2 linked regions of the Mus musculus genome follow. Each later gene encodes a partner of the first gene's protein in a complex. Links are inferred from orthologs where the notes say so. Each region holds a gene or a part of one and is shown in the gene's direction. Other genes may lie near its edges.

The links. The genes of interacting proteins can lie anywhere in the genome.
Region 2: the proteins of Gnao1 (region 1) and Adra2a are in contact, whole or in part, in a cryo-EM structure (PDB 7W6P), measured with the Homo sapiens proteins. The link is inferred for Mus musculus from reciprocal best matches to the Homo sapiens genes GNAO1 and ADRA2A. Residues at the interface, in NP_066268.1 of Homo sapiens: Ile28, Lys32, Lys193, Asn194, Leu195, Asp218, Phe336, Thr340, Asp341, Ile343, Ile344, Ala345, Asn347, Leu348, Gly350, Cys351, Gly352, Leu353, Tyr354; in NP_000672.3 of Homo sapiens: Arg77, Arg146, Ser149, Ile150, Ala153, Ile154, Asn157, Leu158, Arg160, Pro162, Ile234, Ala238, Arg241, Arg383, Arg386, Phe387, Val390, Leu391, Phe444, Asn445, His446.

The regions. Positions count from the first base shown.
Region 1 is NC_000074.6:93,809,083-93,814,231, forward strand, and holds the start of Gnao1 (guanine nucleotide-binding protein G(o) subunit alpha), read left to right. Parts: upstream 1-1,755; 5' UTR 1,756-2,253; coding exon 2,254-2,371; intron 2,372-2,568; coding exon 2,569-2,611; exon of another isoform or gene 2,612-4,473; intron 4,474-5,149. UniProt on the Homo sapiens protein: Guanine nucleotide-binding proteins (G proteins) function as transducers downstream of G protein-coupled receptors (GPCRs) in numerous signaling cascades.
Region 2 is NC_000085.6:54,043,599-54,048,058, forward strand, and holds the start of Adra2a (alpha-2A adrenergic receptor), read left to right. Parts: upstream 1-1,660; 5' UTR 1,661-2,616; coding exon 2,617-4,014; 3' UTR 4,015-4,460. UniProt on the Homo sapiens protein: Alpha-2 adrenergic receptors mediate the catecholamine-induced inhibition of adenylate cyclase through the action of G proteins.

The DNA.
Region 1 (5,149 bases):
ACATATACTTTTGACACAGACATTTGTCGAATGAGACAAACATACATTGGGAAACACCAAACTTATGAAAAAAAAACATGCAGGAGAAAAAATATTTTCTTCTGAGTGGGTCTTAATTGCCCCTTTTCCCCCTTGCAAATATATTTTTATGCTGAGTGACATTTCCAAAATAGGATTTTCTCTCCATTGCTGAAATGAAGCAAACAAGTTTACTTTCAGAGTCACAGAAATGCCCAACTGTTACGAAAAAAGAAAGTGTTTTCCACTGGCCCCTTGCCTGTCTTTATCCTGGGCAGTCTTGCCTGTTGGCTCCTCCATCTAGGAAGGCCCCTGGGGCTGACTGGTGGAACTGATTGTAAAACTATTTTGTGCAGTAAGAATTAATGTCTTCAGGCTCTGAGACCACCCAGAACATGACCGATCTTTGGCAACTGTCTACTGTTTTCCCCAGTGCTGGGTTCGCTGTTTGCTGAATAACTGACCCTGGTTTCTGACTATCTGAGAAGATATGAAGGGTGTATTTCTTCTAGTAGTTTGTTATTTTAAGATGAAAGGAAGAAAAAAAATCTCTTATCACAAACCTATGAAGAATTCATTTTTACCGGATTATGTTCTGGGGATACAAGAATTCAAGAACCAAGGGAGGCCATCGATTCATCATATAGAGAAAAATTTAAGGGAACAAGTATTTGCTAGAGGCTTTCATGAAAGACTGTCCCTGGGCCTTTGGCATCAAGCCATCCTAGGATGGTAACCATCTCTAGCGACAGAGGTTGTGGGCATCTCGCGGTAAGGCTCACATTGGCTAAGGGAGGCAAAAACTCCTGCGGAGCAGGCCTTGCCTCTTCTCTGCCTGCTACTTTCCTCTCTACTAGCCCAGTCTCTAGACACTAGATGCTCAATAAATGCGGACCCAAATCCGTCACTGAGCCCCAGCGCGTTATTATGGAGTGAGCGGGTTTATCCTGACCCACTACCTCCTCACATCTGCGGAGGCACCATAGCTCGACTAGGGGCTACACCTCCAGCCGCGAAGGAGAACAATCGGTAAGGCGATCTGCCGGAGACACGACCCAGAGCCCGAGGGACCAGGAAGCTGGAGGCTCAGGCCCAGGGCTGGGGACCACCTGACCGCCGCGCTGGGGTTGACAGGAGGCGGGCCGGGCGCGCGAGACCCGCCGGGGTGGGGCGGGGTGGGGCGCAGGCGCGCGCCCGGCCCCAGGCCCCGCCCTCCCCAGCCCGGCACGCTCCGGGAGCCGCGGGGGGAGGGGGACCCGAGAGTGGGCGGCGCCGCGCGCGCGCGCCCGCTTGTCTGACGCGTCCCGCGGGCATGCGCGCCGCCCCCGCCCGCGCCGTCCCCGGGGCCCCCGGCGCGCGGCCCTGCTGACGTCAGCGGGCGGCTGGCGGAGCGCTGCGCAGGACCAGGCGCACTCGAGAGCTGCGCTCGCCTCGCCCCCCCCCTCCCCGCCCGCCCCGGCGCGCGCGCGCGTGCCCTGCCCTCCCTGCCCGCCTCTTCTCGCGCTCCCCGCTGGCCGCGGCTCCCTCGCGCTCTCCCCGTCTCCTGTCCGCTCCGCCGAGCGATGCGAGTTCTGGGCCCCGGCGACGCCGCCTCCCGCTAGAGAGAGCTGCACCCCCCACCCCCGGCCCGGCCCTCTGCCCAGCCCTGCCCCGCGCGCGGGGGTCGGAGAAGGCGCCGCGGACGCATCGACGGCCGAGGAGCGGCGATGCACATGCACTAGCGGCACCCCCTAACTCACTCCCTCCACACCCCGCGCCACCGCCGCCTCCACCTTCTCCGCCTCCGCCTCCTCCTCCTCCGCCTCCGGCAGCCGCGGCAGAAGGACCCACCCTGCCCCCCACCCCACCCTCCGCCGGCTCCGGCTGCGGATCCAGCCTCGACTCCTATTTTATTTATTTTGGGTCGTGCACTAGCCTCGGTGCCTGCAACCCGCGCCTCCCGGGCCCGCGGGCGCCTCCTCTCTCGGCTCCGGAGCCCCAGACCCCGGCTACCCTCACCTCGACACCCCCAGACCCCAGCCAGCCGCCGCTAATCTTCGCCGCTGGAATCTTAATAGAGGCTGTCCTTTTGGGGGGATTCTGGTCTTTCGACAATTTTGTTCCCAGCCAAGGAGAGGATATCGTGATTTTCTCCCCTTTGAGCCCAGGCTCTGCTCTGTGGGGGGGTGGGGGGCGCGCCGACCCGGGGAGTCGTGCCAGCCTAGTCGTGCGGGCTGTGGCAGGGAAGGGGCCACCATGGGATGTACGCTGAGCGCAGAGGAGAGAGCCGCCCTCGAGCGGAGCAAGGCGATTGAGAAAAACCTCAAAGAAGATGGCATCAGCGCCGCCAAAGACGTGAAATTACTCCTGCTGGGTAAGGACCTGGGTAGCCACCCCCGCCCCTCGACCCCCGCCACAGTTCCCAACCCGACTTGCGCCCTGGGAAATCTGGTCCCTGAGTTGGCAACACCTTGTGCCCAGGAGCGCCCACCCTGTGCATGCCTTGAAGCCCCCTTCCCATTTCCATGAGCTGACACTCACCAGTTTCCCCCCCTCTGTGTGTCCCAACAGGGGCTGGAGAATCAGGAAAAAGCACCATTGTGAAGCAGATGAAGTAAGTCCCTGTGTCATTGGGATTTGTACTTTTATTAAGAATAATTTATATCGTTTTTATTATCTTGCTCACCCATATTTGCTCTCCAGGCCTGGTTTTTAATTCGCGCACACACAGAAGAAACCCGAGGTTGCCTCCCCTCCCCCACTCCCTACGTTGGTTCTGGGTCCCCCACCCCAACTCCTGGGGTCGGTGTTTGCGGGGAGGGAATGAGAGCGCCTCTAGTTGTATGAATGACAGTGTCCGCCATATTGATCAGAACATCACACTATTGGCGTGCTTATGATCATAACTCTTGCTCGTGGAGTATTTCGTGTTTCACTGCCTCCATTTCTGTCTCTGCCTCATCTTCTTTCCCCTCCTCCTCCACCCCACCCCTCGAATCCCACTTCCCCCTGCTTCTCTTGAGGCAGTGATTTTGAACTTGACTAAAACATGGAGGGGACCCAGCCCTAGCAGATTGGGGTGGAGGATCAAGTGTTTGCTGTTCACGAGTTTGGTGCTGAATTCCTGGTGGCTGTGGCTTAGACGACCCCCCCCCCCAAAGCGAGCAAGGGTTAGGGGAGGGGGCGTGCACTGGGGAGAAAGGATGGGTTTCCAAGCGGATGTGACAGACACAGCCTTATCCAAGGCAGAGGTGGGAGGGTCTGTGGGGCTAAAAGCCAGTTTCATCTGCCCTCCAGCCCCTCTCCTCCCTGGCCCTCCAGCCTTTGCTCTTCTGACACCCGCAGGTTCCAGTCACTGTGTAGCCTTTATCGTTGTATTTACACTCTGTATTCTACCTTCAATGCGGATTTCAGGCCCTACTTGCCACCGCCCCCTTTCTGCCTTAGATATCAGTTTCCCCTCCTAATTAACTGGGGGTGGATTTGAGTGATGGTTGAAAATTAAAACAAAATGGGATATTCCTTCCTTTCCACATTTCCCCACTTAGGAGCCTCGCCCGTCCTTCCTCCTCTCTGGCTTGCTTCTTGCCCCATCCACTCCACGGTTCCCGGTGAGCCTCCAGGCAGCTCTGCCTGGGGAGGGGTGGCCGGCAGGGAACGGGTGCGTGCCTTCCGGGCCTCCTGGCCCTGTTTCCGTTGGCCTGTCAGTTCGGGACGGAGGAGTTCGTTAGGACCGTTTAGCGAGGATTCCATGTCGCTTTGCTGTGACACCTTCGTGCACACACAGCTCCTAATTAGAGGTTGCTGTGCTGTAAACAAAAATGATTATTTTTCAACTTGACAGAATAGCCGAAGTAATTGCATCCCGTAGGAAAACAATGGAAAATAAAAGCCCCTTTCGAGGGAAGGTGGGTGGGAGACAAATCGTGCTTGTGGTTTCAAAACCAAGAAGCAAAAATTCTTGCATGTGTAACAGGCATGACAAGCGAGTTCCAGGCGGCGCCATGATGGTAGGGAGCAGCGACTAGGAGACAGTTTCTCCCATCTGCTTGGCATGTTCTTATTTGCGTTCGAGAGCTCCCGGGGGCTTTCTTCTCACAGGCCCCTTCGGCTAGCCTCACCCTTCTGAGCCACCAGTAATTTGGCCTGGGGTTTCTCTGGGGCTTGTGCAGTCCAAATGGATGGGGAGGCGGGGCCTGGGGAATTGCTCTTTGCAACAAGGTGCATGTTGCATCTGCCTGGAGCCCTCGCGTGTCGGGAAATGCAAACCGCGCCACCTCTTTCTCCTTAGGGGCAGGTTTCGAAACTTCACAAGTCTGTAATCCACTGTGGCAGGCCGGGAGTCCGGTAGAAGCCTCGGCCTCCTGAGCCAGGGTGAGGTTTCAGGCGTTGTAAGTGGTGGACAGCGCCCAGCCGAGGCTGGAAAAGTCGATGGGGCTGAGCTTGGCTCGGCGGTGTTCGGCTCCGCTCGGCCTGACCTGGGAGCGGGGCTCGGAGGATCTCGACAGTGTTCGGAGCACAGTCGGGGTCCAAGCGGAGAGGGCCGAGCGGCTTCGGCGGCTTCGGAAAGGCCCCGAAGACATTCGGAAACCCTCGGCAGGAGGAGGGCAAAGGAGGTGGAATTGGGGGTGTGGGAGGGGATGGCAAAGAAACTTTGCATCCACCAAAGCAGCTTGCTACCTGCTCTTCCTGAACATGCCTCATAAATTAGGTTGATTTAATAAGAGGTTTAAAAATACGTATCGAGTCCCCAAAAGGGCAACTTGCCTTTTTTATTCAAAGAAAGCTTAGCTCTCTGAGGAGATCCGTGTGCCACTTTAGAATGGAAATTCCTGATTAAGTCCTGGGGCACGAAATCTTAAAGGAAGACTGAGGAGACATTCTGAGGAAAGTCCTGTGCGTCTGACTTATATTGGGTTGCACTGAGGAAGATGGGGTGAAGTGTCCGATGTTTGATTCTATTTAATCGGAAATCAGAACATTTTTCTCTTTTCCTGCATTTCTTCCTTTCTCTATTCCCACAAACACCTTTTCTGTGAAAACTGCCTGTCAAAACTGAGATTTTTTTTTTGTAATTGATTTTTTTTTTGTTTGTTTGTTTCCCTTTAAGAACAAAACGTGCCAGATCTCTTTAGGAAATCGGCTAGGTTTG
Region 2 (4,460 bases), on another chromosome or scaffold:
CGGACCTTGGACCCTGGCTTGGATGACTGAGTGTGACATTTAGGTGTAGTGATCTCTGAAGTATGACAGATGCTTTCTTAGGTCTCGTGTGTACCCTGTTGACATTCTGTGCTCTCTGGTTCTCCGTGATCTTCCTGCTGCTCGTCTGAAGAAAGAGTTCGGATGGCACAGTGTATCTGGTGCGACAGATACTCCTGCCTGAGTGCTTAGAAACCTTGCCATCTACTGCCAAGCTCCTACCTTTCTCACCAGAGAGAGAACATAGAAAACACCCTTTCTTTCTTGGCTAGCACCCTGCCCTCACCGACAGATGCTGTGCAGATGTGTGTACTTATCTGTGTATTGGGGGTGTAGGAGAAAAGGCCATGTAAGTGGGGATAGAGTCTAATAAGATGTTTTTCTTTCACGTTTAATTGTACAGATGTGTAAGATACTGTATGTTAATTCAATATTACACACAGTATGTAATGACCAAGTCAGGATAGTTAACTTTTCTATTTCCATAATCAGAAACCCCTTTTTGACAAACACATAATAATCCTATACATTTGTGGAGTTCAGTGTAATACTTTAATTCGTGCACACAGTAGGTACTGATTAAAACAGCGTAAGGCTTACATCTACCTATAATGTCATGGCGCTCTTCATAAAGTAGCTGTGCCTCAACTAATGCTTAACGGTTCCCAGTAGTTTAAAGCCAGGCAAGCAGAGAGGAAGATCCAGGACTCTCACATCTGTAGAAGGTTCCGAGCCTTACTCTCATCAGAGGTAGATCTATACAACCTGAAGATTTCTGCATCATGACATAGTGCAGTTTGAAATCTGTCCGTGTCCCCTCCCCCCCCCCCACCCCCGCCGCCCCAGCTTAGTCCAAACTTGCCCCCAAGATAGGAGAAAAATGGAGGAAAGGACTCCAGAGGAGCCTGGAGCCCTTAAGTCGCTTTCCAGCCGTGACGACCAGCGGCCAGCAGGTGTCAGTGCGCTCTCGTTCTGTCATGGCTCAGGGCCTACCCCTCCAGGACCCTTCCCCACCGCCTTTCAAAGGGGCGCAGTGCAGAGTCCAGGCCTTGAGAGTCCCGGCAGCTGCTAGGATAGGAGGCCTTCTCTTCCCTAAGTATGGATAACTCCGGCCTGGTCTGCTCTCGTGGATGCTGGTCCATTCCGCTCCAGTGGTTCCTTAGGAACCCGCACACGCTTACCTCTCCGGGATCCCTTTCATCCCAGTCACCAGAAGCACCTGCGCTTGACCTGGGGCGGGGCTGCTCGCCAGCGACTCTTATGCCACTCTGCATCTCCTAATTCGGGTCCCAGCACCCTGGCACCCTCTTCTGCTAAAACCCAGCTAGATCGGTGTACCGCTGGGCGCCTGCTACTGTCTCCTGGGCCAGCTAGTAGCCGAACGGCCAACTCCCAGCAGGGGCCGCTCCCCACTCCTTAGGCTCTCTCTTATTGCCCCTCGCTCCCTGTACCCGTCTTTCCAAAAGCCGGGTCCCAGAGGCAGCGCTCTCCCGGGTCCGACTCGGGTGCGGGCTCTAGACCTAAGGAGGGGAGGCGCGAGGGGCGGAGGAGGGTCGACTTCCCACGTGGGGGCTGACGCCGGCTGCTCGGCAACGCCGGCTTCATCCTGGGGCTATAAAACCAGTCCAGCGTAGAGCGGCGGAGCAGCCTCGGCTCCCGCTTCCGTGCAGACGCCCAGCAGCCGGCGCACACCGCCCAGCCACCCAGCGCCTCCAGCTCCAAGTCCTGCGGTCCTGCGAAAACTCACGCGGCCCTCCGACCCCCGCCGGGTCTGTGGCGCTCAGCGCCCACCCAGATCGCGGCTAGCAGCCACCCTTGGCTCCGCCGCGGCTCCTGGAGAGCCGGTCGCTCACCTAGCTTGGCCCTGAGGACCGAGGTGGTGGTGGTGGGGGTGCGGCTTCATGCGGCCCCCACACCCTTCACCCCACCGCCGCCGCCCCCGAGCTCTGTGTACAGAGTCCCAGCCCCAGCAGAGCGCACAACTTTGGAAGTCCCGTGGGGCTCCTAGAGGAGGCAGAGTCCGCGCCTTCGCCGGAGGTCCGGCCCAGCCCTCGCCACCCCGCCTGGAGGGTAGCGACGGAGTTGGAAATCTCTTCGAGGGTATAAGAAGACAGACCTAGGACTCCGAGCCCACACCAACACCCCTCCGCTGCCTCTTGGGGTAAGACTTCATGCTTTCGCTCAGCTTAAGAATCAAGGTATAGATGACTAGCTAAATGCATTTGTATAAATTTCTGACATCTTTCCAAATCATCAGGCCACCGATAATTTCTTTTCTCTTTTCTTGAAGAATAAAATCTCTAACCACCAGCTGGCCCTACTCGATCCTGCCGCTTAGAAATAAAACTTGGCTGTGTTTGAGGAGCTGGGAGAGAGAAAGCACCCACCCGGAGCGTCGGAAGGACGAACCGGTGCCAGTTCGCGGGCTCCAGTCCATGGACCACTAGCGGTCCCCAGCTTGGGCCCGAGCTCCCTGCGGCCCTCTTCCTTATGTGAGGCGCGGCGGGACGAACCCCGCACCGGAGGAAGAGGAGGACCCACGGACGCGGGGCCGGAAGGCAGCTGGCAGCAGGCCCACGAGAACCAGCACCCGCGTTCATGTTCCGCCAGGAGCAGCCGCTGGCCGAGGGCAGCTTTGCGCCCATGGGCTCACTGCAGCCGGATGCCGGCAACAGCAGCTGGAACGGGACCGAAGCGCCCGGAGGCGGCACCCGAGCCACCCCTTACTCCCTGCAGGTGACACTGACGCTGGTTTGCCTGGCTGGCCTGCTCATGCTGTTCACAGTATTTGGCAACGTGCTGGTTATTATCGCGGTGTTCACCAGTCGCGCGCTCAAAGCTCCCCAAAACCTCTTCCTGGTGTCCCTGGCCTCAGCGGACATCCTGGTGGCCACGCTGGTCATTCCCTTTTCTTTGGCCAACGAGGTTATGGGTTACTGGTACTTTGGTAAGGTGTGGTGTGAGATCTATTTGGCTCTCGACGTGCTCTTTTGCACGTCGTCCATAGTGCACCTGTGCGCCATCAGCCTTGACCGCTACTGGTCCATCACGCAGGCCATCGAGTACAACCTGAAGCGCACGCCGCGTCGCATCAAGGCCATCATTGTCACCGTGTGGGTCATCTCGGCTGTCATCTCCTTCCCGCCACTCATCTCCATAGAGAAGAAGGGCGCTGGCGGCGGGCAGCAGCCGGCCGAGCCAAGCTGCAAGATCAACGACCAGAAGTGGTATGTCATCTCCTCGTCCATCGGTTCCTTCTTCGCGCCTTGCCTCATCATGATCCTGGTCTACGTGCGTATTTACCAGATCGCCAAGCGTCGCACCCGCGTGCCTCCCAGCCGCCGGGGTCCGGACGCCTGTTCCGCGCCGCCGGGGGGCGCCGATCGCAGGCCCAACGGGCTGGGCCCGGAGCGCGGCGCGGGTCCCACGGGCGCTGAGGCGGAGCCGCTGCCCACCCAGCTTAACGGTGCCCCGGGGGAGCCCGCGCCCGCCGGGCCCCGCGATGGGGATGCGCTGGACCTAGAGGAGAGTTCGTCGTCCGAGCACGCCGAGCGGCCCCCGGGGCCCCGCAGACCCGACCGCGGCCCCCGAGCCAAGGGCAAGACCCGGGCGAGTCAGGTGAAGCCGGGGGACAGTCTGCCGCGGCGCGGGCCCGGGGCCGCGGGGCCGGGGGCTTCGGGGTCCGGGCACGGAGAGGAGCGCGGCGGGGGCGCCAAAGCGTCGCGCTGGCGCGGGAGGCAAAACCGGGAGAAACGCTTCACGTTCGTGCTGGCGGTGGTGATCGGCGTGTTCGTGGTGTGTTGGTTTCCGTTCTTTTTCACCTACACGCTCATAGCGGTCGGCTGCCCGGTGCCCAGCCAGCTCTTCAACTTCTTCTTCTGGTTCGGCTACTGCAACAGCTCGCTGAACCCTGTTATCTACACCATCTTCAACCACGACTTCCGACGCGCCTTCAAGAAGATCCTCTGCCGTGGGGACAGAAAACGCATCGTGTGAGCGCATGGGCCTTGCCCTGCGTGCAGACAATGGTCAGACGCAGGCCCTGGGCTTCGAGGGGGTGCGTCTACGCATGCAGCCCCTAGCACTCTGAAACCCCGGACCTACCCAGCTGGGAGGGAGCTCCGTGGCCTTTGAGACCTTTTGTTACAATGTGTAAAGTTCTGGCTGAGAGGGACACATGAGCCCTTTTGCTGGTTGTTGTGGTTGTTCCCAGCCCACAGCCAGTTTCCTGGTGGGCTACCCCTGATCAGTATGGTTTCCTGATGATATTGTCATATCCCCAAGTCTGACTCTCCCAAGCTCTTCAGAGCAAGCACAGTACTAGAGAGGGCATGGCTGCCAAAGGGTTAATGAACCAAGGTTTCCTCTAGTCCTGGCTAATTATCTCCTCCACACCCCCTTCCTTAAATAAATAAATAAAGATCATTCAGGGCGGTCCTGCC